Callithrix jacchus: one gene and its partners. The protein of the gene in region 2 interacts with the protein of the main gene of each other region in a biochemical or structural test. Links are inferred from orthologs where the notes say so. Each region holds a gene or a part of one and is shown on either strand. Other genes may lie near its edges. The genes, in order: KIT, LYN, DOK1 and FASLG.

Evidence for each region.
Region 1: the proteins of LYN (region 2) and KIT form a complex in vitro, tested with the Homo sapiens proteins (2 studies listed by BioGRID and IntAct, with this or other methods). The link is inferred for Callithrix jacchus from reciprocal best matches to the Homo sapiens genes LYN and KIT.
Region 3: of the proteins of LYN (region 2) and DOK1, one has a biochemical effect on the other in vitro, tested with the Homo sapiens proteins (2 studies listed by BioGRID, with this or other methods). The link is inferred for Callithrix jacchus from reciprocal best matches to the Homo sapiens genes LYN and DOK1.
Region 4: the proteins of LYN (region 2) and FASLG form a complex in vitro, tested with the Homo sapiens proteins (2 studies listed by BioGRID, with this or other methods). The link is inferred for Callithrix jacchus from reciprocal best matches to the Homo sapiens genes LYN and FASLG.

Annotation. Positions count from the first base shown.
Region 1 is NC_133504.1:142,095,822-142,102,974, reverse strand, and holds the start of KIT (mast/stem cell growth factor receptor Kit), read left to right. Parts: upstream 1-3,017; 5' UTR 3,018-3,075; coding exon of another isoform or gene 3,076-3,142; intron 3,143-3,944; exon of another isoform or gene 3,945-4,157; intron 4,158-7,153. UniProt on the Homo sapiens protein: Tyrosine-protein kinase that acts as a cell-surface receptor for the cytokine KITLG/SCF and plays an essential role in the regulation of cell survival and proliferation, hematopoiesis, stem cell maintenance, gametogenesis, mast cell development, migration and function, and in melanogenesis.
Region 2 is NC_133517.1:12,279,177-12,286,434, reverse strand, and holds the start of LYN (tyrosine-protein kinase Lyn), read right to left. Parts: upstream 4,840-7,258; 5' UTR 4,571-4,839; intron 1-4,570. UniProt on the Homo sapiens protein: Non-receptor tyrosine-protein kinase that transmits signals from cell surface receptors and plays an important role in the regulation of innate and adaptive immune responses, hematopoiesis, responses to growth factors and cytokines, integrin signaling, but also responses to DNA damage and genotoxic agents.
Region 3 is NC_133515.1:38,641,603-38,648,905, forward strand, and holds DOK1 (docking protein 1), read right to left. Parts: upstream 4,199-7,303; 5' UTR 4,162-4,198; coding exon 4,102-4,161; intron 3,766-4,101; coding exon 3,466-3,765; intron 3,335-3,465; coding exon 3,250-3,334; intron 3,039-3,249; coding exon 2,854-3,038; intron 2,646-2,853; coding exon 1,839-2,645; 3' UTR 1,406-1,838; downstream 1-1,405. Other genes in the region: M1AP (meiosis 1 arrest protein), read left to right, coding at 78-236; LOXL3 (lysyl oxidase homolog 3), read left to right, coding at 6,307-6,619. UniProt on the Homo sapiens protein: DOK proteins are enzymatically inert adaptor or scaffolding proteins. They provide a docking platform for the assembly of multimolecular signaling complexes. DOK1 appears to be a negative regulator of the insulin signaling pathway.
Region 4 is NC_133519.1:30,106,598-30,114,021, forward strand, and holds the start of FASLG (tumor necrosis factor ligand superfamily member 6), read right to left. Parts: upstream 4,883-7,424; 5' UTR 4,782-4,882; coding exon 4,437-4,781; intron 3,887-4,436; coding exon 3,841-3,886; intron 1-3,840. UniProt on the Homo sapiens protein: Cytokine that binds to TNFRSF6/FAS, a receptor that transduces the apoptotic signal into cells. Involved in cytotoxic T-cell-mediated apoptosis, natural killer cell-mediated apoptosis and in T-cell development.

The DNA of each region.
Region 1 (7,153 bases), on a different chromosome or scaffold from region 2:
ATTTTTCTTTGGGGATGCAGCCCTCCCTATCTCAGGCCACATGACTCAGACATGGCCAATTAGCGTACTCCATCCCTCTGGCTCCTTCCCCGTGGGCACATGACTTAGGCTGGGTCAATGAGACTGGGTTTCTCCCATAAACTTTTATAGGAGATGTTTATGGGGGCAGGAAAGCTCTACTTCCCCGGGGCAATAATGAGCTGAAAGTCTAGAGCTGCCCTGAGTATACACAAAGACAGCAAAACAACGCAGGAAAGTAGTGTTGAGGATAAAGGTGGAGGAAAGTGTACATGTACGTGTGCACAAATGCACCCATGCACACTTGCCCTTTAAGTCCTGATAACTGAGTCCTTGGATCTAGGAAAGTCTGAAACACTATCATCCCTGGACTTACCAGTTACCAGAGCCAATACATTTAGGTTTCTTTGCTTGCTTAATTTAAGCAGCTTCTACAAGTTGCGATCGAGAGTCCTTACTAAAAGAATTATGAAAACAATAGAATACATAAAGCATAACCCCTGAACAAGCCCAGGACTATCACAAAATACAGTATAGAATTAATCCATACATCCTACCTGTAATACAAAACATTTCCATCATTGCCAGTGTTCCATTGGACACTGCTGATCTATAATATAGTTCCTTATATATTACAGCACATATGTTCATTCATAGTGCCTTATATATTATGCTTCCTTCCTTTATTGAACAGGCGGTGGGGGGGGTACTATTAAAAACAACTAAAGGTACAAGTACTGGAGGCTCTCTGTTGTGGCCAGCATTAACATTTGAATTCCCAGATCCAGGAGATTTGGTGTGTCTCAAGGTTGGGTTGGAAGATGTTTCAGGGGATGGCTTTTTCTGTAATCAGCACAGAAGGATTTCAATATTGTTCCAATAAGGCCAAATTGGTGTGTACTGGCTGAACATAAGCTCTGTTAGCAGATATTATAGTTTCTTATTTGAGTACCTATTTTCCCTGCTGGACTGTGAATTCTACTAGGCAGAGACGTTGTCTTACTCATTTATGTGGGTCTTATGCCTACCTAGGGGCTCAAAAAATATTTGCTGAATGAAAAACAGGAATGACAGTCCAACATCGTATAACTCCCTATTCAGTTTTTTTTCCTGATAGAAGATTCTTGCTTAGAATTAAATTGCAATATGGTCTCTTTTCACCCACTCTTTTGAAGATGTTATCCTCTCCAATATCAGCTGATAGAAGAAGAAAATTGTAAATTTTCTCTCTCAGGCATAATGTTGATATTTTAGCTCGTAGTGATTTTTTCTCAATACAAAATGGATTTTAGAAATATATCAAGATCCCAGAAACTTATGATTGCTTTGAGTGGTATCTTTTATCTGTCATCCTAAGAAAAGCATGAGATCTGATGGCCCAGAGCACAGACCTTTTGCATTTCAGTTCTCCTACAGCTGCAGGACTTGAAACTTTTGCTGGGAGATTGGGATGTAGGTCCCATACTTGATTATAAGGACTGTGAGGGCAGGGGCCACACCTGCATATCTGTCTATTAATAATAGTACTCCTGGTACCTAGCTCCTCCTTGCTTCACAGCAGACACTAAATGTTTGCTGAGTGAACAAATACATACATTTGAAGAGAGGCAAATATACACATTGATTATTTGATCATCCTCTAGTACTGATAATTTCTAAGTGATTAGCTTTAAAAATCACTTTTCTTACATCATCCTGGGCCCTGTCACCATTAAACAACAGGAGAGCTTTCAATATCCAATGAAGTGGGGTAGCTGGGCAACTATAAATTTTGGATGATACTTCAGAGAAGAGTCTAGGTGTATCTGTTCTATCCCTTTTTCTGATGGGCAACTGCCATTCATTTTCCATTCTTAAGCTCTCAGGAGGGATGTCTTATTAGTTTATCAAAATGCTTAGGGGAAGCTCATCTTTCTTGGAGTAGGTCTTCAAACAAGGGTTTTTCCTTCGCTACAATAAGAAACATACCTGCTCTATACCCCTCACAAAGCTGTTATCCTGAGCATGAAAGAAGAGTCGGTGTGGAGAAGAACTAGTAACCCCTACACTGTTGCTGCTTTCCGTTCAAGGATCCACCATGAGACCGTGGGTAGAGCACTTTCTGGGCAGTGAAATCTGGCTTAAAAGAATCGTTGTACTTTTATCTTACTCCTGGGACCGGCAAGAGCAGTTAAGAGGAACACAGGGATCCCTAGCCCTGAAACCGTCGTCTGATACAGAGGCAGAGAAATCATTACAGGGGTTGGCAGCATTGGGGTGGGGGGAGAAATGTGTAAGAAAACCTGGGCTCCCAGAGCAAACTTCGCAGCGCGCCCCTCCCCACTCCCTCGCCCCAGTCTCCACAAAAGTCCGGGTACGGGCTTCTTGGGCGTAGGCCAAGCCGACCAATAGGAACTCACTGTGTCCTTACATGTTACAAAGCAGGTGGAGAAACTGAGCAGAAACAATTAGCTAAGCCAGGCTCAGCCTTTACCGCGGTGCCAGGCGCTCCTAACAGGCCTGGAGGGTAATGTCGGGGCTCAATTTCCTACCGCTCCCCTCCCCATCCCCGTACCTCCACCACCAGCGGCGTCCAGCCTACTCTCGCTCGAACGCGCCGGAGGGGCGGGGAGCCGACCTTTATTGTCTGGAGAGCACCTGGCAGGTGGCGGGCCCGTGCCCTAACGTGCGCGTGGTGCCCAGCTTCACAAAGCCAGCGGGCAGCACCTCCCTGGTTCGGGAACGGCCTCGGACGGGCAGACCACATCCCGGGGTTGGAGAGGTGGAGAGAGAAAGGGGCTCCGGGGTCAAGAGCCAGCGGCAAGGGCGGGCACAGCCCCCCCGGCATTAGCACGTCGAAAGAGCAGGGGCCAGACGCCGCCGGGAAGGAGCGAGACCCGGGCGGGCGCGAGGGAGGCGAGGCGAGGAGGGGCGTGGCCGGCGCGCAGTGGGAGGGCGCTGGGAGGAGGGGCTGCGCTCGGCGCTCGCGGCTCTGGGGGCTCGGCTTTGCCGCGCTCGCTGCACTTGGGCTAGAGCTGGAACGTGGACCAGAGCTCGGATCCCAGAGTAGCCACCGCGATGAGAGGCGCTCGTGGCGCCTGGGATTTTCTCTGCGTTCTGCTCCTCCTGCTCCGCGTCCAGACAGGTGGGACACCGCGGCGGGCACCCCGGCCGTGCGACTCCTCGGCGAAACCTGTGCCTGGGAGGGTGGTACACGCCAGGGTGCGTCCGGAGGGGGAGCTGCGGGCCCTCAATACCCTTGCGTTCCAGCCTCCGGGGAGACTCCAGGCGGCCCTCGGACTCTCCAGAGGCCTGCCTTGCTCACCTGTGCGAGGAGACCTCAGCTGCTGGTGGTGGGGGGCGCGAAGCCGGGGTTCTTTCGGGAGTGGGGACAGCAAGGGGGTTAGGCGTGAGCGAGGCTGCAGGCTGCATGTGAGTTTGGGGTAGCTTTTGTGCCGATGGTGCGCTGGGGGCGGAGGCGGGCGGCTCAGGGGTTCGCACCGAGCGCCTTATCTCTCCGTGCGAGGCGCGGCCGCAGATTCCTTTTGTTAAAAGTTGCGTGTGTGTAACCGGTGCCCAGGATGACCTGCCCACAGGTTCTCCGCCACGCGGAGGGCAAAGTTAAAGAGCCCTTTCTCTCCTCTGCGGCTGCTGCCTTCCAACCGCAGGCGCTCTTTGTGCCCAGAGCTGGGGACCGACCCGCTGCTGCCTCTGCTCGCGGCGCCACCCGTGGAGACGAATCGAAGGCTGCAGCGTTTCCCCGCCTCCTGGTTAGGGTTTTGCACGGGAAGCGTGCGGCGTGCGAGTGTGGGGCTGGACCCCCGTGAACCTGGCGGTAGTGGCGACGGGGACAACTTGGGTAGGGCGTGTGGAAAGCAGCCGCTAGGTTGCAGACTTTTTGCTTTCCTACATCGCGTGCTCGCCTCTTTCTGCCGTGGCGCCGTTTCATTCCTGCCAAGCGCCCCGGGGCTGCTGGAGGCTGCGTTTGCCGCCTGCTCCTCTAAGGCAGCGGACAGCGTGCTGATACTCTGCGGTTTCTGACCCTGGCCGCCTAGCCCGCTGGCCCAGTGCCTGGCCTGCCTGGCGGGCTCTGGAAGCCCCTAGTCCGGCTGCCTGCGAACTGTATTCGCAGGTCCTTATTTTCTTAGGACATTTTTGAGGTTCGTAACCGCCCGTCTCTCCACTCCCGGGGCGTCGAGACTTCGGGGCTGCCTGGGGATGGAGAGGGAGATGGAGTGGAACTTTTTGCAAATCTTAGTTCTTAAAGCTGTAACAAAAATCTAGGTATATTCGCGTGGGAACTTGGGTCTTAGGTGTAGGACTTCCAGGCTGCTGGAGCCGCTCGGTCAGATTCCTGCCTCCGGTTCACTTGTTTTCTCGGTGTCGCTGGTGCGCGCGAGTGCAGGTCGCTCACTGAAGCTAACCCCTGAAGCCCTGTTCTCTTCCAGGTCATTTTAAAAAACAAACCTTTAAGGTTACCCTGATGATGTAAGGATAGAAAGTGAGTCTGAGCTGGAATCAAGTGCTTGAAAGGAAGCGGCGCAATGAAGGGTTGTGAGACTGTCGACTATCGGTCAGTTTCTCTAGAAAGCTTCCAGGCGCAGCCTCCCGGGTCCTCGTCTTGTAACCATTGTGAGGGCTTTCCTGTGGGGGTAGAGAGGCCTTGCATCTGGACCCCTGCGCAGCAGGAGGGGTCAGCAGGGGTCACGCGGGAGTCTTCGGATTCCCTGGAGGATTTGATTACCTGTCTTAAAAAGACTCATCTGGTCTTTGTTTTTGTGCCTTGGCCTTTTTAATATCAGTTAAGGTATGTGAACTAGACCCTACTAGGAGACTAGAAAGACAGCCCACATTGAATATCTGCCTTTTAAAAAATTAAATGAATCAATGGTTTCCTTCTTCCCAGTAGATTTTTGGCAAAGGAAATTTGAAGGTCTGCCTCCTGGGGGGCAGTGTGGTATAACGACCAAGCCTTGCTCTCTCCCCGGGATTCTCCTTTTCTCTGCCATTCCTTGGCTGCGTGTCCTTGGGCAGGGTGCTTACATTCCGGGGAATCCAGTGTCCTCCAGAGTACAAGGGGGCATCTGCATCCTGAAGTATCCTTTGCGTCTAGAATTATCCTCCAATGTTCTAAGTGTAGACTCAGCAGTCTTTTCAACTATTTCCCTGGTCTCTGCCTGCCTCTTTGAAATTCCTCTGCCTCTCCTGCTCACAGGGACCTCATAGTGTATGGTTGCATCTGACTGGAGCTGTGGCTTATGCTGCCCGCCCCTCAATTCCCATATATTCCTCTGCATTGCTCTTTGAGGGCTAGGAGGTACCCACTTTGTCCTAACCCTCATTCTTCTCCTCCCCTTCCCCCCTACAACAGTATTACAGCTCCTGTGCCTAACAGGATGAACCTGCAAGGAATAGTGAATCATACCTTCTCGCCTCGTTCCTGCAGGTGTGAGGCTGGAGTCATTCTCAGCAGCTGGACACAAGGCACTCTAAATTATCCTGCTGGAAATAATAAAATGGTCTTATAAAGAGATCCCAGACAATTCATTTATCCCTATTGTTTTTCCCCCCACTCATCCCCCTATTTTCTTCTCGTGACTCTGTAAATCCCGTATGCTGTGCATTTACAACATACTTTCTAACGCATCTTAAATTCCGTATGACATGTGTGATACATAGTTGTTGCTCTTCAGTTGGAAACGATGTACCAGGCCCGGTGCTTGGGGCTTTACCTGCTATTTCTAGTAGTCTCAATGAGCCCAGGAGGTAGTACTATTACTCTAATGTTTTACAGCTGGAGAAACTGGCAAGAATAAGCCCCAAATCATCAGTGGTGAAACCTGATGATTTCTCACTACCATGAAGGTAATGAGATTGGCTTCATGTGCCCAGCTGTATATCCATTCACATTACTCACCAGAATCTGTTGTAAGATTCATTCAAAAATATTTAATGAGTTTTTACTATGTGCCAGGCATTGTTGGAGGTTCTGGGAATGTAGAATGGCCAATGTCACTACCTTCCTAATTTTGGTCAAAAATACTGAGAATTGCATGTCTTATGACAAGAGAGTATTTGTGGAGGGAGGATTCATTAAATTTTAGCTTGGAGAAGGGGCTGTAGGCATTTAACCTGTGGTATGCTGGCTTTAGGTGTTAGCTGACCCATTCCAGGTAGGGTCTCTGAAATGAAGGTAAGCTGTCTCTAAAATGATGATGCAAGCCAATTTAAATCCATCTCTCCAAAACATAAACATGGTCTTGTGCATAGGTGGGAGAGAACACCCCTAATAATGGCTGATACCATTGGCTATTTACCCTGGATAACACAATGAGAAATAACGACAATTTACCATCCAGGGCCATTTTTTCTCCCAAAAGAAATTCTCATCAGAAATGTGCCAGGTATTCTGCGGGCTTTCCTTGGAGCACATTTATGTAAAGATGTTGTGGTGATGAATTTTGCTGCTGTTGTTGACAGTCCTTCAAAGTTACCCTTAGGGTTTTGACTCATTTCCTCAAGCTTCTTCCAGATAATTAAAGAAGGACACAAGGAAAAGAATCACAGTGTCTCCAGTGGAATTTTCAGAGCTGGACTGCAGTGTGGGGACCCCTTCAAGGTGTAGTGGTCAAGGCTGTGGCAGCATTTTCTCCAGAATGAATTCAGTTGAAGAGTTGGCAGGCTATCATGTTGAAGTGCTTTCTTTTGCTGCATTAGTGTGTGGTAACTTTTAAAAAGAGGAATTAAATGACATTTACAGGAATCCAGATATGCAGAATTGCATGTGCAGTTTTAGTAACTTGAATAGATATTGCCATAGCTATAAGTCCAGAATGAGCAAGGCCTGGGAGGGAGTAAGCGGAGGTAAAAGTTTGCCTGGAGGGCAAATCCAGTGTAAATCTTTGTTGTACATAGAGAGGACTAGAGTTGAGTCAGTTTGGCCCAGCAGCTCTGATTTCTGACATTTTTTGGACATGATCATACTGCTCATCTTTTGACCTCAGATTCTTAAGTAAAGGGCAGTTGTAATCTGATAGCCGGCGGAGACGTGTTTTGTTTGGCCTACATGATGCTTTTTAGAAAACATTGAGGTGATATTAAACAATCTAGAGTTTTTATCAAGATCTCTATTTCTGTCTTCTCTCTAAGAATTGAA
Region 2 (7,258 bases):
CACCTACGGTCAGGCTGGCCAATATGGTGAAACGCTGTCTCTACTAAAAATACAAAAATTAGCCAGGCATGGTGGCAGGCACCTGTAATCACAGCTACTTGGGAGGCTGAGGCAGGAGAATCACTCGAACCCAGGAGATGGAGGTGCAGTGAGCTGAGATCACGTCACTGCACTCCAGCCTGGGTGACGAGAGCAAAAACTCTGCCTCAAAAAATTATTTTAAAAATAAAATAAAGAGAGCCCTTCCAACTAACTTAAGCCAAATATACTGCAGTGAGGCCAGGCGCAGTGGCTCACACCTGTAATCCCAGCCCTTTGTAAGGTCAAGTTGGATGAATTACTTGGGGTCAGGAGTTCAAGACCAGCCTGGCCAACATGGTGAAACCCTGTCTCTACTGAAAATACAAAAATTATCTGGGTGTGGTGGCATAGGCTTGTAATCCCAACTACTCAGGAGGCTGAGAAAGGGAGGATTGTTTGAACCCAGGAGGCAGAGGCTGCAATGAGCTGATATTGCACCTCTGCACTTCAGGCTAGGTTGACAGAGTGAGACTCCATCTCAAAAAAATAAACAAACAAACGAAGTCCATCTCAGAAGGTCCTTGTCTTTAAACTGGCTGTTACAAAATTTCTAATCCCTCCATTGTCAGATTTGCATACCACTTTCTATACTAGGGTGTCTCCCCCAAATGAGAACTTACTCAAAATCAATTTTAGAAATGATAATGGAGTGAACTCAAAGTTTCACAATTTAAGTATCAGGAAACTAGGCAGCTGTACGAAATCTTTCAGTACTTCTGACTGGAAAAAAACCCAACAACTTCCTCTTCCATGTTCGTCTCTTCATTATCAGCCTCCATTATCGGACGGGAGGTAATGTGTATCTATACTGTGGGCCTAGAACAGTGCCTTGCACACAGCAGGTGGACACAATGGGCAGGTGTTTTAACGTGCATCCTGTGAGCCCTGTCTCCTTAATTTATGTTTTCACCTTGAATAATGCTCTCACTGATACAACAACCATTCAGGAGGCTGGTAAAGTTTATGGGGAGACACTTCCAGGAGAAGGGGGGAAAGTCCTTTTGCAAAGTATTACTCGGGTACTTCTGTATTAAACAGTGAGCAATGGATTGCCCCCCAAGACAATCACTAGAGTTGCTTGGACAGCAGCCAGAATAGGTGTCACCTTAGCAGTTACTGGAGACCACCCTTTCCCACCCCCAAGCAGGAAGCGGCGCTAAAAAGCACAGAAATTCATTTCCAGAAGACAGCTTAAGTGCCTAGCTTGATGGTGCATCTGCTGTGTCCTGAGCAGTTAGCCACTTAGTGCAGACAATTACCAAGTGATAAAACAAAATTAACTTGTGATTTCATTTTTAAAATGTTTGTTAAATGAATTATTTCTTTGCTTTTAAGCACAGATGGTCCGTGACTTAATGATTTTTCAACCTTACAAGGGAGCAAAAGCATTAGGCACTCGGTAGAAACTGTACTTTAAGTACCCATACAACCATTTCATTTTTCACTTTTAATACAGTATTTAATAAATGATATGAGCTGGTCAACACCTTATTATTAAAAAGGCTTTGTGGCAGATGATTTTGCCCAACTGTAGGCTGAGTGTTCCGACCATGTTTAAGGTAGATTAGGCTAATCTATGATGTTTAGTAGGTTACGTTTATTAAACGCATCTTCTACTTTCAGTGTTTTCAGCTTATGATTGGGTTTATTGAGACACAGCCTCATCGTAAGTTGAGAGGCATCTGTAATATAGCACCCACAGGTCCAAAGGTGGACGAGAAGAAAGTGCCAAGAAACATACCTACTATTCCTAATGGTACCACTTAACCAAGCCCATGATTTTGGACAAGCCCCTGAATCTTTTTCTGTTTCTGTCCCTCTCCATACTTATAGGAGCCACAAAAGGTTCAAATGAAATTAGAGTTCAAGAAGACTTCGGAGGCCTGAACAAGTGAAAGGTGCTAACACCTTCACCATCATCGCTAAGCAGAGCCGGGAAAGGCCTGAGGCCATCTCTGCTGTCAATATGACATTGATCAATGTCCTGACTAATGACTGTGGTGGCCTTTCAGTGTTAACACTCATCCAAGCATCATTGAGATCATCAGTAGTTGTGAGCATGGAACAATGTTCCCTGCTGTGGGCATGTATACATTGTATCCTTATTTATAAAGTTAGTATGGGTTTGTACATGGATAACATTATTTAATTTTGTTAAGTTACAACTCCACATAGTCATGTGAACCAACTGGAATCGCAGATGTTTTGGGATTTATTTCCGAAAACATATACTACAGAGAGAAGTAAAAGGCTTTCAAAGTCATTGAACAGTGCTGGACCACTTTTCTGCTAAAAGAAAGTCATTGGAGAGGTGGGGTGGGGATGGGATTACAAAGTCTCCACCTACCTTGGCAACATGAATGACTCTAAAATAATGTGGGTCAAATACCTTTGCAGGAAACATCTTAACCACCCCACATCAGGACCTCTCTTCCAGTGATAAGTAGAGAAGAGCAGTGCTGAGTGGAAATTCTCATTTAGAACACTAAATGTAAGTAACTCGGTGCTGGGTAACTTTGAGTCAACAAAGCCCCTCAAATCCCGGTTTTAGAAACCACAACAGAAAGGGCCAGTAGGCTTCAGATACCTTGGGGACCAGCTCTATTTCTTCATCTCCCTGTGTCCTCAGTTTTGCATACTGCCAGCTCACAGCAGGCCTTCATTCCTTTTTCCAAGTAATCTCAAACTGAGCACCTACTATGTACCAGGCACTGGGGCTATCATTTTGGACAAAACAGATGAAGCAGTTTTCATGGAGCTTCCACTGTAGTGGTGAAGACTATCAACCTGCAGACAGATCAGTATAACTCTGGCTGCTGCTATAAAGGAAATATTAGCTGAATAAAGGGCCCAAGTGGCTTATCCCAAATCACAGCATACTAAATGGTGGAAGAGGCCAAACTCAAGTCTCCCAGCTCCTATTTTCTCTTCCCTTATGTCTGCTGCCCTCTATCCTTCACTCAGCAAAAGCGCCATACATTTGCATCAAAAGAGGCCCAGTCACCAGAGGCTCTATGATCTAATGAAATTTCTTCAAGCCTCAAAGTGCTTACCTGCTTACCTCCAAATGAGAATGGAGGGACTAACTGGATCTCACCCTTTTCCAACAAAGCTTACTCTTTCAGAGAAGGCTTTAGTAAGTCCTGGGATCTTGCAGTACCTACTCGCCAGGACATGGCTTTAGGGGTCGGCTGTACAGAGAAAACATCCCTGCAGCCCACCAGTTTATTGGCTAGTTCTATAGGGCAAGTCAGACTACTGGCACCTGCTTTGATGCAGCAGATTCCTCACGTATTTATTAAGCAGATTTACTAATAAGGTCAGATGACTAAATTCAGACAGTAGACGTAGGTTCAAAATCACCAAGCTGCAAAGAATCAAGGAGCCTCTCTATGTGAATAGAATTTACTGCAATAAATAACAGTAACATCGTTTACAAAATGCCTAGTATGTAGTAGGGGCTTTGTTTGTACTAAACAGCCCCTGAGATATATATGCTCTCTCAAAGATGAAGAAGCCCAGAGTTCAATAATCGGTCCCCCAAAATATACAGCCAGAAAAGTGCAAGGCCTGGATTCTAAGCTGGCAAAGAAGGGCGAATTGGGGATAATTAACACACACGGGCATGCAAAGAAACGAAGACACAACCACAAGTCCACAGGGTTGGCAGGCGGTTGGAAAGTTACAAATGCACCGCAAGGAGAAGATACCACCATAGGCCCAGAGAACGCAGGAAAGTGGGAACTGACTCTTAACGCCCTTCCCCCAAGGCGAAGAAGGAAAGGCAACCCCCGAATTCTTAAAATAACTCTCGCTTCCTCTCAGCCGGCAAATGCACCGGACTGCTCCTCTGCAGGCGGAGAGGCGCCGCAGCGGGAGGGTGAGCTCCGGCCTCTGCCGCAGCCCCTCGACGTCACGCTCCTGCCGGGGGCCACCAGGGAAGGCAGCTGTCCGCGGGCCTGGGAGAGGGCGTCGGCCAAACCCCACCTCCCACTTTCTGGGGACCCAGGGTCCAGAGGGGAGACCAGATTGCACAATCGGAGGAGTCCTCTCCAGGATCCCCGCCGCGCGCCCAGTCCGCAAGGACAGGGGCTTGCCCGCGGTGCACGAGAAGCCGCCGGTGCGGGGACAGCAGCCGGTCCTCCGGCCCGCGCCGGGAAGGGCCCGCGCCGGGAAGGACCCGCGGTGAGCCCGCCCCCACGCCCTCACCTCCCATCACCCTCCTGCGCTGCTACGCGCGCGGACACCTGCGGAGCCCGAGTCCCAGCGCCCTAGCTCCCCTGGGCCGGGTCACCCGCTGGCTGAAGAGATCAGCGAGTCTTCGCCGCCAGGGCCGGAGGCGGTGCGGCCAGGAAGCTGCCGCCGGCCGCGCGGATGCCCCAGGCCCCGAGCTGACCTGCGCCCGTCACTCCGGCTGGTGGCACAGCCGCCGCCCCTGCACCCACCGCCCGCCGCCCGCGCCCACCCTGGGCTCGCGCCAAGGACTCACCCGCTCGCGGTGAAAGTTTCGGGGCGGCGGAGCTCCACGGTGACTTGAGTTCAGAGCGGGGGGCGCGACGGGGCGGCCCAGCGGGACCCGCGTAGGGGGAGGCTGCTGGCTGGGAACTCCGGACGCGCGGCGAGGGGCTGCGGGCGCGGGCTCGGGGGTGGCGCGGCCGCCCAGCTTGCCGCGGGCTGGAGGCTGCAGCTAGTCGGGCCCGGAGGCGCCACTGCCGGGGAGCTAGCGGCAGCGCGGCCCGGCGCGGCGGGAGAGGAACTGGCTGTCTCTGGGCTCGACCGAGAGGTCCCAGCTACTTCCTGGTGCTCGGATTTGCATATTGAGCCCGGAGGGCGGGGAAGTGACCGTTTGGTCCCTGCCCAAGGTTTGGGTGTTTGGTGTGGCCGTCGCGCAGGGTTTGAAGGCACAGAAACCTGGCGACTCAGCCTGCAGCTCCGGCGAGAGGAGCAGCCCGGGCCATCCTTCTGCCGGGACCGACGGACGGACAGGTCTCCGGGTAGCCTCGGCTTCGCAGGCGCATCGACGACATCTCGCGGGTCTCCTTTCCTTTCCTTCCGACCCCTCCTCAAGGTGTTAGGAAAGGGGTGTTCCCGGGAACGGAGGAGGTGAGCTCTGATCCCTTCCAACACTAGGGGGTCTGTAGAGAGAGGATGCGATGTGCCGGGTTGAGGCTCGGGGTCTCGGGCTCTTAATAATCATTACAAAGTAAGTTCCTTCAGGGTGTGCAGGGTTCAGGGCAGGCTGTTCAGGGCATTGATGGGGGAGGGGATGACATGGAGTCAAATGGCCCGGCAAGTTCTCCGTTTCTCAAAGCCTCAGTTTCCCCCCAGAAAATGGATGTAAGGATGCCTATCGTGTACTTTTCTGTACCCGGGCCGCACCGCCCGCATGCGGGAATGCTGGCTGTTACTTCGTTCCTGCTACAGCTGCATGCCGGCATGCAGGGCAGTGCTTGCAAGTAGCAGATGCCCAACCAGTATTTGCTGAAAGAATGTGTGACCGCGGGCTCAAGCTCATGTTCAACTTATCCAAGATGTAAGATTAGGCTCGGACACCATGGATACCCACGTCGAAGCCAGATTCTGTTCACTGGGATCCCAGCATTGCATTACCTTGAAGAATTTACAAGGAAGCAAATTGGACACTGTGGGAGACTTGGTCTTTGCATTAATAGCAAACATTTACAGAGGGCCTGATGGGCCAGACAGTGCCCAAAGCACTTGCTTTCCCTCTCAACAATGTTCTGAAGAGGCTGGCCCCAGCTGCAGTGCAAGAGGTCAAAGCAGCTGCCTTGTGACACAATCTGATACGGCAATCTGAGTACTAAGTTTGCAAACTTTAGTACTCCTTTCCATAGTAACGAATTCCTTAAAAGAAGAAAAGGAGGGTGGTTTATATCTGTGATGTTCACTGGTGTGTAGTTCAGTTAGTTTGCTGCTGAAGAGAAGAAGGGGTGGGTTACCCATGGGAAGGTGTGTGATTGAAACTTACCAAGAATCCTATGGAAAAAAAACAAAACAAAGCAAAACAAAAACAAAGAATCCTATGGAGTAATTCACCTGAGAGCCTATTGCCTGCTCTTTTCTTCAGAATGACCTCTCAAATATGTTAATCCTACATTCAAGTATCTATTGCTACTGATGAATCCTTAAGATCCTGGCTAAACATGAGTGGCAAATAAGAGTAGGGTTCAAAACGTTTGGTATTGGCTAATCTATCAGGAATGTCTGTCAGTGTCTTTGGTAAAATGTCTCTCCAGGTAAGGAGAGCATCATCAGGCAGACATGAACTTGATGAACCCAGCTCCCCAACTCCCAACTCCTCACACACAAGATGTCCTCACTAAGTTCATCTCTTCATTCTTATTTGGAAGAAACAATACCATGCTAATTTCCACTTCTTAGGCTGCATTTATACTTGCTGAATACTTCATTCAATCATTCTCTATATCTGTTTTTCCTTCCTAAAGTCCCATGAAAGTTCTGTTTCTCAGGAAAATTTGATTTAAAGCTCCTATTCATAGTCAACTTTTCTTTTTTTTCTTTTTTCTTTTCTTTTCTTTTCTTTTTTTTTTGAGACGGAGGTTTGCTCTTGTTGCCCAGGCTGGAGTACAATGGTGTGATCTCGGCTCACTGAAACCTCCACCTCCCGGATTCAAGTGATTCTCCTGCCTCAGCCTCCAGAGTAACTGGGATTACAGGCGCTCACCACGATGCTGGGCTAATTTTTTATATTTTTAGTAGAGACTGGGTTTCACCGTGTTGGGCAGGTGGGTCTCAAACTCCTGACCTCAGGTGATCCACCCGCCTCGGCCCCCCAAAATGCTAGGATTAAAGGCATAAGCCACTGTGACTGGCCTTGATAGGCAATGTTTCTAAGCATCTATAGCATGTACAGTATGCAACATTCTTTTCAACTAAACCTAGGTACTTTTTTTTTTTTTTTTTTAGATCTGATGGTTTTAAATAGACCTAGGTACTTTCTAACATTGTTTGCCCTTGTTTTACATGTTAGCCTTCTCTCCTCAACTACTGCAAAACTCATTTTGGAAAGGCACTGTTTTTCATATTTATCTGTTCCCCACGCTACCACCCAAAAATTATGTTGGGTGCTTTAAAATACCTCATTAATATTGAATGATTTGGCCTGGCGCGGTGGCTCACACCTGTAATCCTAGCA
Region 3 (7,303 bases), on a different chromosome or scaffold from region 2:
ACAGAAAGCCCAACAGAGAATGGGATAGGCACACAGAAACTGATCTTCAGAGAAGGCTCTGGTTGCTCTTTTTGCAGACTGGGCAGCTGCAGACCAACCGAGCTCGAGCCACTGTGGCCCCCCTGCCTGTGACTCCTGTCCCTGGCAGAGCCTCCAAGATGCCAGCAGCCGGCAAATCTTCCTCAGACACCTTCTTTCTGCCCTCGGAATGGGAGGAGGATCCCTCAGGGCCCTAAGTCACCAGCACCAGAGCCTAACCACATCCATGCTCAAGTTCACATAATGGCTATCTGTGGTCAGACCTGCTTTCTATCTGCCTGAGTCTCTGTGAGTGAGGGCTGCCTGGGAAACAAGAGCCGCCTTCCCCACCTCTGTTTCATGCTGTCCCACTCCTCAAGTGGAGAAGCAACACACTCGAGCCTGTCCCTTCTTCAGCAAGGACTCTCATTTTCTTTTAAATCATTTGATACTGTTTACAGAGGTGAAGATTAAACACCCAATAAGCTTCCACCATTGTTAGAATTCCCAACCCAGAATTTCTTCTTGTAGCTCAGTGTAAGCAGGTGGATGAGGTCAGGTCACCTTTAGTAAAATGGGACTCAGGAACAAGGAGGAGGTTTCCAAACCTCAAAAAGACACGTAGGATTGAAATCCAAGCCTCAGTTCAGAGCCTGTGGCCTTCGTGCTACACCACCAGCCTTCAGCCTCCAAACAGACAAGTGCTTGGTACCTACATGGAAAGTGTGTGTGTTGTGGGGTGGGAGTGCTGCCATATAGCCCAGAACAGGGGAGAGGATGGTGTAGAAAAGACCTACTCCTTTCCTTTTACCCTCTCCCCACACGTACCCACCTTCCTGTTGCTCCCTCCATCCACAGAATAGCTACCATTTATAAAATACTTCCTCTGGGTTGGGAGCAGTGGCTCACACCTGCAATCACAGCACTTTGAGAGGCTGAGGCAGGATGATCACTTGAGGCCATGAGTTCGAGACCAGCCTGGACAAAATAGTAAAACCCCCATCTCTACATAAATAGTAAATAAAAACTAAAACAAACAAAAACCAACTCTGTGCTTCAGATTACACTAAATACTTATAATGTATCTAATTTCATACAAAAAGCCCTGTGAGGTAGAGCTCATTATAGTTTTCCCATTTTACAGGGGGCACAGGGGAAACTGAGGGTTGCAGATGTTCCACAACTCACCAAGGGCCACAGAGCTCTCGTCTAGCCTCAGGCAGCCTGACTTGACTCCCCAGGCTCTGAACCGTCGTCACACTCCTGTTCCCTTTCTGGGCCTCTTTCCTCTCCATTACTCTCAACACATTCCTGGTTCTCCTCTTGAACCCCACCACACCCAACCCAACCACTGTGTCCCCGCTTTCTGTTCACACACACAAAATTCTTAAACCCAAGCTGACTTTAATGAGAATTTTAAAATTTTGAAATAGATATCTGGCAAAGAACAATGCAGGGGTAAGGATCCAGGCACATTCCAGCATCTCCGAGACCTCCACACAGGCCCTCAAACTGCAACCACTCTTACCATGCCCCACTTTCCACAGACCTGCTCCCGCAGCTGTCCCTTCCTTTGGGGAAGTGGGGAAGGGATGGTATTAGGGGGAGGTAGAGTCCATCCCTCAGGCCTGTCATCTGTCCCACTTCTTAGGACTTCCTGGGATAGTCCTTCCCTTGACTTCCCCCATCCCTCTGGTCCCCTGCTCTCACACAGCACGGCTCCTCCCACCCTCTGGCTTCTGCTGGTTCTAACCATTTTCTTTGACCCAAGTGCCACCTCCCCATGGTCCTCCTCAGCGACCTCAGCCTTGCCCTCCTTCTCAGGTAGAGCCCTCTGACTTGACCCCAGTCCTGTCAGTCCCTACTCTAGAGAGCCCACAGTCCCAGCTCCCTGAGGCTCCGCTCTTCTGGACCTGGCTGTACAGGGCTGAATTGTGGCTTTTGCTGCCACTGCCAGTTGCAGTACCAGGTTCAGGTAAGGCTAGGCCCTGGGGCTTGGGAGCAGGGAGGGGCTTTGTGCTCCGGGAGGGTGGCACAGCATAGTCATCAGTGGCAGGGTTGTAGGGGAGCTCATAGCCTTCCTCCTTCACCCGAGCCTGGCACCACCATGCATCCTTGAGCTCCCGAGGCAGATCATAAAGGCCCTGGGGAGGGGCTGGGGCCAGGCCCTCAGGTTCATCATAGATGGGATCCTCTTTGGGGTCCGTCAGCTTGGCCTTCATCAACTGCTGCTGCGCATGCTCATACAAGTCCCAATAGAGCACTTTCTTCCGTTGTACTCCCTCTCCTGCCCGAGCAGGGGTGCTGTCCAAGGGGTCTGAGTATAGGGAGTCCTGGGAAGGGTGTGGAGTAATTCGCAGGGAGTCTAAGGGCTCAGCATACAGGGCTGGGGCACTGTCGAGGAGCTCTTGGGGGCCAGGTGGGGAAGGCAACTTCCCCTCTGCCACCTCCCCTTCATGGGAGTCAGCTCTGAGAACATCGTGCCCCTGCCCTGCCTTTCCCTGGGCCTTTTGCCGGTGGATGGCAGTCTCAACTGCTTGGAAGATGTCATTTCCCTGTGCCGTCTGGAAGGTGAAGGTTCCAGGGCCCGAGGGGCAGCGGCGGCCGGCCTCAAAAGAGAACATGACCTGAGGAGGGTGGAGAGGGAGCCATCAGAGGAAGTGAGTCACAGGCCTGCATTAATCAGGGTATCTACAAAGAAGAGACCACCTGGGAACAGACGTGGGGTATCCGGGTAGGCAAGAAAGGGGAATCCGAAGGTCAGAACTACCAACCTCTGTCCTGCCCCACCCACAGCTGCCCAACCCAGGAAGCCCTCCGGGACAGCCACTGCACCTTGTCCCGGCCATAGCGACGCAACAGAGTGTAAGGCCAGGACAGGAGTGGCTCCAGTATCTGATTCTGGGTTCCCACGGTCAGGAGAGTCAGCCTCTCAGCCTCCACCCTCAGCACGTAGGAGCCATGCAGGCCACAGCGCTCGGCGGCCTCAGTCCTCTGCACCGTTACCCAGAATTGGGATCCTGGAAGGCATATACAATTAGCTGCGGCAGGAGGGACGGGGGAGGGGGGGGGCAGCAGTGGGGACCCAGAAGCCTCAGGGTCCAAGCACTCACTTGGAAGCCAGATCTCAGGGCCTTCCTACTTCCCCATGGGTCCCTGGGTATCCACCCACTTCCCAAAGGCACTCCTCCCTCCTCACTCCATCCCTGCCCGGCTTTCTCAAGCATCTACCTTCCCAGGTGGGGCTGTACAAGGAGTTCTCCAGCATCTCCAGGGCAGAAAGCTTAGGTGGGTTATCGGTAGTCCAGCTGCCTTTCTGTAGTACAGAGAGAACATCAAGAAACCTGTAATTTCCTCAACGCGGCTGGGGAGGTGGGAGCGGTCTGAGCCGGCCCCATTTCTCTGCCTCTGTAACTGCCCCCACCCCGCATCGCCGCAGCCCCTCACCGGAAAGGCATTTCTGCACAGCATCTGCACCCAGGCTGCACTGGACGGTGCGTCGGCCGCCAGCAGGTGCGAGCGCTGAGCAGTGTCCAGGCGGAAGGCAGTGGCGCCGGGCTCAGGAGGGGTCTCCACCGTGACGGGGGCCACACTCACACACTCAGCCAGACGGATCACCTTGCAGTCCAGGCGGCGCGAGCTCCCTCGGCCACCTCCAGAGCTCGACCCCTTAGGGTCAAAGAACTCGAGCCGCGCCACACCGTGGGGACTGGCCGGGTAGAGCACAGCCCAGGTCTTCCTCCACCTCTAGGGAGAGAGCGAGAGGACTGGAGAGGGAGTGGCGTGCGCGGGCGGGCCCGGTCCCGACGGGGAAGGAGGGAGCGGTGCGGGTCGATTTGGGGTCTGGGGCTTCCAAAAGCTGGGCGAAGTTTCCCAAGGAGGATGCCACTCCCTCTCTGCAGGACCAGAACCCCGAGACTACAGACGCTTCTCGGGAGCGTGCAAAGCAACTTCGCGGGAAAAATCACAGGCTCTCCAACTCCTGGCGCCGCGCTCCAGCCCGCTGCCCACCTCTCCCTGTTTCTGGGCTCTCTCACCCACTACTAGCCCGGATGGGGTTCGGCATCCGCGGCCCCCGACTACCTTGGTCCCAAAGCGCTGACTCTGCAAAAAGAGCGGCCCTTCCATCTCGGCTCCGTCCATGGCCCCTGGCAGTTCCTTCCGCGCTTCCTGGCCCTGCGGCGGGAGGCGGGGCGGGAGGCGGGGAGGGAGGAGGGGCCGGGTTCCCTGGAGGCGTTTCCGTCCCTCCCAGCACGCCGGCCGCCGCCGAGGGGTCACGGTGGGGTGAGGGAGAGCATCTAGAAGGAAGGGTGGTGGTCCCCGGATTAGCCGGGCAGTGCAGCACCCCAAACCCCTACCCGCCGTCGTGGGGGCGCGCCGGTGGCTCCACGGAGAGATAGTCCTCGATTTCGGCGGGAAGACCCCGGTCTCTGGGCGTGGTGGCTGCGCGTGACGTCATATGCCCAACATGACATCAGAGTGAAAGCCGTGACATCACCCCAAAAGCGCCCGCAGGCACCCGGGGACACCGAGATACCCACAAGGGCCTCCGGGGCTTCAGTTCCCCCTGCCGGGCCCGCCCCCAGCCCCGCCCGAGCGGGGCTGTTTACACCCCACCGGCAGCGACTCGGAGCGGGGCCGGCGGCTGGGGCTGGACCTTTTCCCGCCACCAAGGGGGCCGCCCCGCCGCCCGGCGGCCGCTTGCAAGTCGACTCCCTGACCGCAGCGGCCTGGCCTCCATGCCAGGGAAGAGAAAGCTTCTTTGAGTGGGCCAGGAGGGCCGGGGAGGGGGAGGGGGCGCGGCAGTGGCCAGCTCCACGGGGAGGGAGGACCCAGAGGAGGCGAGGAGGGAGCTGGCCGGGAAGAATGGAGGGAGAAGGCGGAATGTGGGAGGGCTGAGGGAGATGTGGGAGGGACGATCGGAGGGGGGGGAGAGAGGGGGGTCCAGTCTTCCCTGGCCGAGCATTTTTTTGGGGGAAGTCCTAGGACTGATCTCGAGGACCAGCACTCTTCTCCCAGCCCTTAGGGTCCTGCTCGGCCAAGGTAGGGGGAGTCACGCTACCCGCGGAGGGAGCGGAATAGGGGATGGAGAGGATGTGGAGGGACCAGAGAAAACGAGTGGTGTGGGATAGAATCGAGGGGAAGCCACCCAACTGAGAGTCTGATTCTTGTCAAAGGGCAATGAGACAGAGTACAGAGAGGAGGCACTTACTGGAGGCGAGGGCTCTGGGTGTTTTGAACGGGGCAGCCAGGAGCGCCCTAAGGCAGGGGGCTCCTCCGGGAGGCCCTTCTCCTGGGTCCCCAAGCCAAAATGTCCCCAGAACAAAGCTGCCTTGTTGGATTGATTGTTTGGGTTGGGGGAAGCATATTGGCAGGGGCTTGCTGTAGAGGGGTTGTTCTCAGCCCTAGAGAGAGAAGGCCTTGGCTGAGGAGTCATAGCGCCTGGCCTCCGGTTGCCCGGTGACAGCGATGGTGGCGCTGGCAGAAGGCTTGGACAAGCCTACCCCATCCCCCGCCCAGCCTTGAGGCCTGGCCCTCCTGGGCCTCTTGACCCTTCAGGGCATCTGAGAGCCTGTGTACTGGAGAGGGTTGCAGCAGGTTCTCCAGAGGAGCTTCTGTGCCAGCCTTCCCTGCCTGAGAATCTGCTGGGGTAGGACACTGGGCTCCCATTCAGGGGATCCAAGGCCGCCTAGGGCCCCCTACGTGCCTCTCTGCACAATCAGTACAGCTGTCTGTCCTCTGTCTGGGTAAATGGGGTCATCTGGATCCCTCCCACGTCCGCCCCTTGGCTCTTGTCAGTCCCTCTCCTCCTCACCCGCAGTGTGCTTGGTTCCCCTATGCTGAGTGCTTGGTTCTTTCCCTACCACCTTCTACCCATTGTCTCTCTCCTCTGCATCTTTCTGTTTTTCTCTCTATCATTCCCACAGTCTCCCTTCCTCTCACATCCTGTCTGTCTGGGTCTTCCTCTCTACGTGTCTCTTGGTCAGTCTCTATCTCTATTCCTTGACCCTTCTCTGACTCTCTGCCTCTCATAGCTGTCTCTTATCTCTGGGTCTCTCAGGCTGTGTCTCTTTGACCTGTGCCTCTGCCCTTAATAATGTGTTTCTCTCCCTGTCTCTCTTGGTCCCTGGGGTCTCTCTTTCTCTCCTGCTGTCCCTCACTGTCTCTGGTCTTACTGGGTGTCTGTTTTCCCTTCATTACTTCTCTCTCTCTTTCCAACTCTGAGCCTCACTAAATCTCAGTTTCCCTCACACACTTTCTCTCTGGGGCACCCAGGCCTTCCCTGCCATGCGACCTGTCAGTGTCTGGCAGTGGAGCGCCCGGGGGCTGCTGCTGTGCCTGCTGTGCAGCTTGTGCTTGGGGTCTCCGTCCCCTTCCACGGACCCTGAGAAGAGGGCCGAGAGCCAGGGGCTGCGGTTCCGGCTGGCTGGCTTCCCCAGGAAGCCCTACGAGGGCCGTGTGGAGATACAGCGAGCTGGTGAATGGGGCACCATCTGCGATGATGACTTCACGCTTCAGGCTGCCCATGTCCTCTGCCGAGAGCTGGGCTTCACAGAGGCCACAGGCTGGACCCACAGTGCCAAATATGGCCCTGGAACAGGTGAGCAATGATCCAGGCATATCCTAGGTATTAAGTGTGACCAATGTACAGGGAGAGGGAACACCAGGATGGCACAGCCACAGGGACACAGGACACCAAAAACAGCCAGATTGAATAAACCTGTGGATGACAAACCAAGCAACAAGTTAATTCCCAGAGCTGTGTGACCTTAGGCTAGTCGGTGCTTTCTCTGAGCCTCAGAGGCCCTGTGGGCAAAATGACTGGATGATGTCTAAGTTCTTTTCTGCTGCAAAAGTACGATCCTACTAAGCCATACACAAAACAGCCCAGGTACAGGTGAGCCCTGTTCAACTAAAGTACAGTTGGTTTCATGGTATGCTAGCTAAGAGCAGGTAAATGATATCTGGATGGCCCAAAGTCACAAGGCGTCACAGACACTGCAGCTAACAAAATCAGGTTACAGGCCAGAGCTAAAACTAACAAGCTGGCACTGTCTAAGGACAAGTATAAAATCTAGGACAAGTATGAGTGTGGGTGGTGGGGACTTAAGAGCAGTTTCCTAGGTGAGGCCTAGGACTGCTCCCACGGTATAAACCCACAGTGGGATTGATGGACAGAAGTGGGGCAACCTGCAGCTGATCCCCCCACTTCCCACTGGCTAGACCACCTGTAAATTAAGTGTCATTTGTAAATGCTATGTTTTAAGAGGGACAGTAGAAAATG
Region 4 (7,424 bases), on a different chromosome or scaffold from region 2:
TTTGAGGTATGTATTATTATCCCACCTTATCGATTGCAAAATGAGCTTAGAAGTTGGGTAACTAGTTCAAGAAGACCCAGTTAGACAGTATCAGAAATTGGACCACACCCTGGACTCCTGACTCCAATTCCAGGCCTCTGTCCACTCTGATTCTCTCGTCCCTAAGATTTACAGGACAGAGACTAAAGACTGCTGATCTGTCTGCGTGTCACCAGGTCTTCCCCCAATGACATTTTACACTCTGCTCCAAATTAATTATATTAAGAACTCAGACAATCACCTCATATCACTGAGGCTTAAACCCCTTTAATGGCTCCTTCCCAAAGATGCAGTTGTATATGCGTCTTCTTATCACACAATCCCAGCCAATCTGCCCAGCCTTATCTCCTTACTCCCACTGAGCATTGCCACACAACGGGAGTTCTGTGGCCTACACATACCCTCACTTCCCCTCCTGTGTGTCTTGGTTCATGCCATGTCTTCCACCCATAATGTTCTTTCAAACAGATTTCTGTGTCAAATTCCTAAACATCCCACAAGGACAATCTAATATATCTCTTTCTTTGGGGAACCCTGTCAGGCCTTTTTTGATCAAATACAATCTTTCCCTCTTTTGAAATCTAGGATCACCCTGTTTTCCCCACTCTTTCTGACTCCTCTTCTCTAGGATAACTACATAACTTATCTTATTCCCCTCAAATAATGACAAGTTTCTTACAATATGTTGAATTCACCAGAGTAGCCCAGTTTCTAACACAGGATATGTTACTAGCAAATGCTGGACAAATTAAATGGAAGGACAGACAATAGTTCTCAAAACAGATACTATTTCTCTGACTTCAACTATTTCAGACAAGATAGACAGCTGCCACTTAGCTAATGAATTCAGCTAACTGAGATATCAATTAATATTCACACAAAGTGCTTGTCTGTGTCAGGTTCATGATTAGCCTGTAATACTCACACATGGTCTGAGAATAGCCCAATCCACAGAGAACATTGCCTGAACAATCATGACCTCTGTAGTCACCCAAGCCACCCCACCACAAAGGCGGTGTTAGTGAACAGGAAAGGCAAAACTGAGTTTCCTCTGCATTCCTACACCACAAACCATCTGAGCAACTAATCTGGCATTCAGCCATGCACCGGCAGGAAATGGAAGAGAGAACCACATGTCTTTATATCCCTCACAGAGCCTAGTACAATGTTATTCTCATAGAAGACGCTCACTAAGAATAGCTGCTATACAAATACTGGAATAAATAAACTGCAGATATATCCTAGACACTGGTGATGAGTGCTTCCTGCCCCAGGTTTTTTGCACGTGCCATTCCCAGCACTGAAATGCTCTCTCCCAGCCCCACCACACTCCACAGTACATGCACACAGCCCTTCACTCTGCGGCTTCTGACCTCCACGGGTGTCAGCATAAACAACACCTCCTTAGAGAGGGTTCTCCAGGCCATTCCATCTTAGGTTGCACTGAGTAACTTTGAAATTGCATGGTCTTTTTGCTTGCTTTTTTTTAGCTTCTTCACCATGCTAAAAGCTCCATAAGGACAGGCCCCCTGGGCTCACTCACCCTCAGTCAGCATCCAGCACCCAACATCTAGCCTCACAGATGTGAATGAATAAGATATTTAATTAGTTAACGGAAAAAAAATGGAAAATATAAAAAGGAGGCAATTAAAGAGTGTAAATAATCTATAATAGTATCTCTCAGAGAAAATCACTGTGAGTACATCAGTATAGAAAACTTTCTAGTTCCTTTCTAAGAATATAAATATGTGCATACATGCTTACATAGTCAGTATGAAACTAAACATACTCTTTTGTAACTTGTCTTTTTATCTAACAATAGAGTGTACAATCTCCAAGGCATTAAACGTCCTTCTGATATGTTTTTAGTTGCTGCTTATTAAGCACTTGTCTGAATACATCATAATGTATATGACTAACCTAGTATGAGGCATTCAAGTTTCTTCTGAATTGTTTATTATAAATAGGCTCATAAGGAAGTAATGAATATCCTTATATGTAAATCTTCAGGCACAGGCACATCTCTGATTATTTTCTTAAGATAAATTCTTAGCTATGGGATTACAACGTAAACTATTAGTTCCAAGCTTTTGATTGTATATCCAAAGTGCTCTTCAGAGAAAGCTATAGCAATTTACATGTACACTGGCTGAAACAAATGTTTGAACAGGCTCTTTTCTCTCAAATCTTTGTCAATTTGTGCTTTTTTTTAATTTTTACCAATTTGATGAAAACTTGATATTTCCTATTTTTAATTTGCATTATATTAATTTGAATCTCTTTTCTTATTAGCCATGTGATAATTTACCAATTTCTGGTCCATCTAGAGAAGATAATTGCTTACCAGGCAGATAGACCTGACTCATCTGATCATTTGACTTTTAATCACTAAACTGACTCAAGAGTGGGTGAAATATGAATAATTAGGTACCTATCAGACCAGGCACATTCCACAGATTTTCAAAATGATCTTATTTAAGACATCCTCCAGAGGCTTTATTTTTTTAACAAATATTTCCACTCTGCTTGTGTACATGTGGAAGTTCTAACATATAAGGATTAGGACACAGACACAGGAGCCAGAGCATCCAACAGTGGCTCCTACAAGAACCTAACAATCTGGGATAGCAGACAGGCGACTGGGTTGCCTGCAGTAGCCACATCCAGAGAAATGGGAACTTGCTCCACTTCTTGGCCAGTGCTGCCTTCTGCTTGCTTCTGAGTTTCTAAGGATGAGATTTACCTATTCTCTTTGCAGAGGTATTCTGCTTTTCATCTATTTCTCATTCCATGGTCACTACAGTCAGGAGTTTCCCTACTTGATGAGGCACCAGTCCATGTGCTGGAAAGCCCTGTAGGTGACAAGGCATCAAGAGCCCGTGTTCCTTCCAGCCCCAGTTCCAGACCAGTGTTCTTGGGCGTGTTCACCTAATCTGTCTGGTATTTTGTTTCTCTTCCAAAAGACAGAATGACTGGACTAGATATATTCTAAGCTTCCTTCCAACTCTAAAAATTCAATGAATCGCATTGTAAATCTAAATCTGAAATTTCAGTGAACCTTAGACTAGTGAAGTGTGCCGTAAAATCTATCTGTACAGAGCTTGCAAAACTATGCCCTGACATTTCATGAGATCAGTGTTCAACATGTCATCTTCTTGTCCTAGCTCCCATACAAAGGGTTTTCCTTTGTGATCAAGGGTACCTCATGACCGTCTCTGTGGGTGAAGCTGAATGTCCTTTGAATGATGGCTGAAGTCTTCCCCTAAGCTACTCAGTGACTTCAAGAAAAACCATCCTATTGTGGGCAATTGATTATCCTCATTAAAAGCATACATCCTATAAAATAGTTTATAAATTAAGCTTCACTGTAATCTCTTTAGAGAGTTTAAAAGAGGAGAGGACGTTTCTGAGAAACATCTATCTCTGCCTTCACCTCGCCTTCTCTTCCCAGGAGTCAAAGCCACTGGCATGTGTGCCACAACCAAGATGCCTGTGGAATGCGACAGACCTTCCTCAGGGGGCAAAGGTCCAAGTTGTGTATGTGTGTCTCCAAAGTCAAGTGAAAGTGATTTTGAATTGTGTGCTGTGCTCAGCTATACTGATTGTGAGCAATTCAATTGACTTCACATTTTTAAAGCAGCTCGAGGAATCATATTGACCAGAAATTCAGAATCAGCCAGAACTCCTCTCATAGCATACATAAGCCAAAGTGTAGGACAGAATATAAGGCATTCCATTAACATAGTTCAGTGCTGAGGATCATCTTTGGGAACTCATTGTACCCACAAAAAAAGGACTCACCTATTTGCTTCTCCACAGACGATACTGCATGCCTCTGGCTGGCAGACTAGTAAAAGAGAAAGAGAAAAGATGTATAAAAAAAATAAAACTCTTTAAGCAAAAGAGGCAGAATTGTCAAATAAACCAAGCCCTGGAAAAAGAATCCAAATACCTCAGAACTTTTGTTAACTCAGGCTTTGTCCAAGCAATTTTGCCTCACTGTCCCCCAGTTTTGTGATTTGGAATCATATCAATATTTTAAGTACTTTCAAGATTCAGTTTGGTCATCTGAACAAATTTACTTCCAAGCAAAACTTAAAAGTTTGGTTTGTTTGTTACTCCTTGAATCACTAGGTATGAGGCAGGAAGTGGTTCAACAGACTGAGTTGACACATGAGGAAAAGAAAACTGTTGGGCTCTGATGCTTTACGAAACAAAAAATATTCCCCTCACTCATGTGAACCTCCATTTCTCTGCCTATAGAATAGAATAACTAGAACAACCCATTTCTAAGGAAAAAAAAAAGAACTGAAAAGCACTTGGCAAGCCAGGCAGTGGGCCCTGCACCCCCTTATGCCAGGTGCCTCCAGGGCACGGCAGTCCACCAGCAGGCTTACCTCTCGGAGTTCTGCCAGCTCCTTCTGAAGGTGGAAGAGCTGAAACATCCCCAGTCCCAATCCTACCAAGGCAACCAGAACCATGAAAAACATCACAAGGAGACACAGGCCTGTGCTGTGGGTCCCTCCCTTCTTCAGGGGTGGCAGTGGTAATGGAGGCAATGGTGGCGGTGGTGGAGGTGGTAGTGGCGGCGGTGGTGGCGGCGGCGGTGGTCTCCTTTGGCCAGGCCTTCTGGGCACAGAGGTTGGACAGGGAAGCACTGTGCCTGGAGGGGCCCAGGGAGAGCTGGCACTGCTGTCCACCCAGTAGATCTGGGGATATGGGTAATTGAAGGGCTGCTGCATGGCAGCCGGTGACTCCAGCCAGCCCCAGCAAATGGTCTTATTTCTTCCTAATCCTGTAGAGGCTGAGGCGTCAAGGACAGGACTCCTGTTGCTGACTGCTCAAGAGAAAGGAAGCTAGATCTCTCTTATAGAGTTTCCATAGCTAAGGGAAACACCTCTCTCTCATTCTGCTTCTCAGAGAAACGCCCACTCACTTTGCATCTGAAACTGAGAAGTCTCAAGAAGCTCAGAGCAAACCCCTTGGAAGTTTCCGCCCACAATTTTCTTATGAAGGCCTTTGAAGCCCTAGGTGCTGTCGCTGGGCTACCCAAAAAGGCTGGTAGGCTGTGCTCCCCTTCCTTGGGTCCTGCAGAGCAGGTCAGCACTGGGATGTAGCCCTGTTGGTGTCAACTTCTCCCAGCTACAGGAGAATGGCCAGTGGAGATATAATTTTATGAATTATAATCGTATGCATTTTTATAAATTATCATTATATAATTTTAAGAATTCTACAATACATACAACCAAAAAACTATTTTAAAATCCCAAAATAACTCTAACAAAAATTGTTCAGAATCATATTTTTAAATCCATAAATTTTACTGCAAATGGCTCTGAGGTGAAAGACCATGAAGTCATGGCCAAAGAAGTCACTCCCACATTTTACTTTTTGCAAAAGGAAAACATCTGTTGCCATCATCCCTTCCCCACACACAAGTATCATCTACCCTGACCAGCAAATCACCATAATTTACAGAGTAAAAACCTGCTACACCCACTTTAGAAATTAGCTCAGAGGCTGCAAACCAGTGGAACCCACAGAGCTGCTTTGTATTTCACATGTTTTTCTTTTCATTGGTTGCCCACTTTATTTATTTATTTATTTAAAGAGAGACAGAGTCTCACTCTGCCACCCAGCCTGGAGTGCAGTGGTGCTACCATAGTTCACTGCAGCCTCAAAATCCTGGGCTCAAGCAGTCCTCTTGCCTCGACTCCCAAGTATCTGGGATTATAGGCATAGGTCACTACACCTGACTAATTTATTCTATTTTTTTGTAGAGATGGGGACTTGCTATGGTGCCCAGGCTGGTCTCAGCCTCCTGACTTCTAGAGATCCTCCCGCTTCAGTCTCCCAAAGTGCTGGGATTACAGACATGAGCAACTGCACTCAGCCAGCCCAACTGACCACTTTAAATATTGATACTAAAAATATTATATATTTTTAAATACACATTAAAAAAATATTTCTATTCTCTTTTGAAACATCAGAATGTCGGACACCCTCAAGGCCATGGGTAGCAGCTACCCCTGAGAATGAAGGACAGGTGTTCTGGGTCACCCAGCCTCCACCACGCCCCTGTGTCTTACACATCACCTCACCATCTGAAAGGCCTGCCTGGTCTCTGCTGACATTTCTTGTGCAGCCACTGTTATGGTTGCCAGATTAAACACATGGTGACCAATTAAATTTGAATTTCAGATAAATAATACATAATTTTTAGGGCAAGTATGTCTTAAACGTGTCCACACATGGAATATACTAAACAATTATTTATTGTATAATCTGACATTCAAATTTAACTCTGTGCCCTATTTCTTTGTTTTGTTTCATTTAAAGCAGGCCTCTCTCCTTGGACTCACCTCACCCTTTCTCCTCTGGCCTCAAATACCATTTATATGCCAATAACTTCCAAGTAGTTAGCTTCAGTCCTAATTATTCTCCAATATAAGCCATACAAATGCCCTGTAAATCCCACTTTGTCATTTTCTTTTTCAGGTTTATTACTTTTCAAATTTCATTAGTTTTTATATCATGCTTTGGGATTTCTGTGGCTATCATTCAGGCCCACTCACCTGTACCAAACCAATACCAAAGGTACTATTTCCCCGATGGATTCTGCCCACGCCAGCCCAACCCCATCCCCCCACAACCTGTTTCTCCTGAGGCCACTCTTTCTGGAGACAACTTCATCTCCTCTCTTTTCCTCTCCCCCAACATTTAACTGGTCACCCAGGATTGTTGCTTTTACCTGAGACCTGTTCCTTACCCTCCCCTCAATATAAGGTTCCCCCTGCCCCACCCTTGCCATTCCCATTTTTCTTACTGCTATTGCCCAGGGTCAGATTTTTATTATCTCTCACCTGAAATACTGCAGTGATGCCCTAACAGGTGACCTGCCACCAATTTTTCCCAAGCCCGAATCACCCAGTAAAATGCTACGAGAAAGACGTTTTAAAAAGCAAACCTAACGATCTCACTTCCCTGCCTTGTGTTGAAAGGTCTGATACCAGGAGTAGTGCAAGCTCCTTAAGCATTACCCAAGGCTCTTTAGCATCAGCTCCCACTGCCTCCTTGCCAGGCACTCCTGCTCACATCCCACTCGCCACTCTTAAACAGGGCAAGGGATGAGACTAGCAAGACTGTGCACGAGTTAACGAGCTTTTGAACTCATATGTGGCTTTATTTACCGTTATAAACTAAGTTTAAACTTCATTATAATCAGAAACTATAATTTTAAGAATTCTACCATACATAAAACAAAACTATTTGAAAATCCCAAAACAACTGTAACAAAAATTGTTCAGAACCATGCTTTTTAAATTATAAAAATTCTACTGAAAATGGCAAAGATTCAAATAAGTGGGAAAAATTCACCATATCCT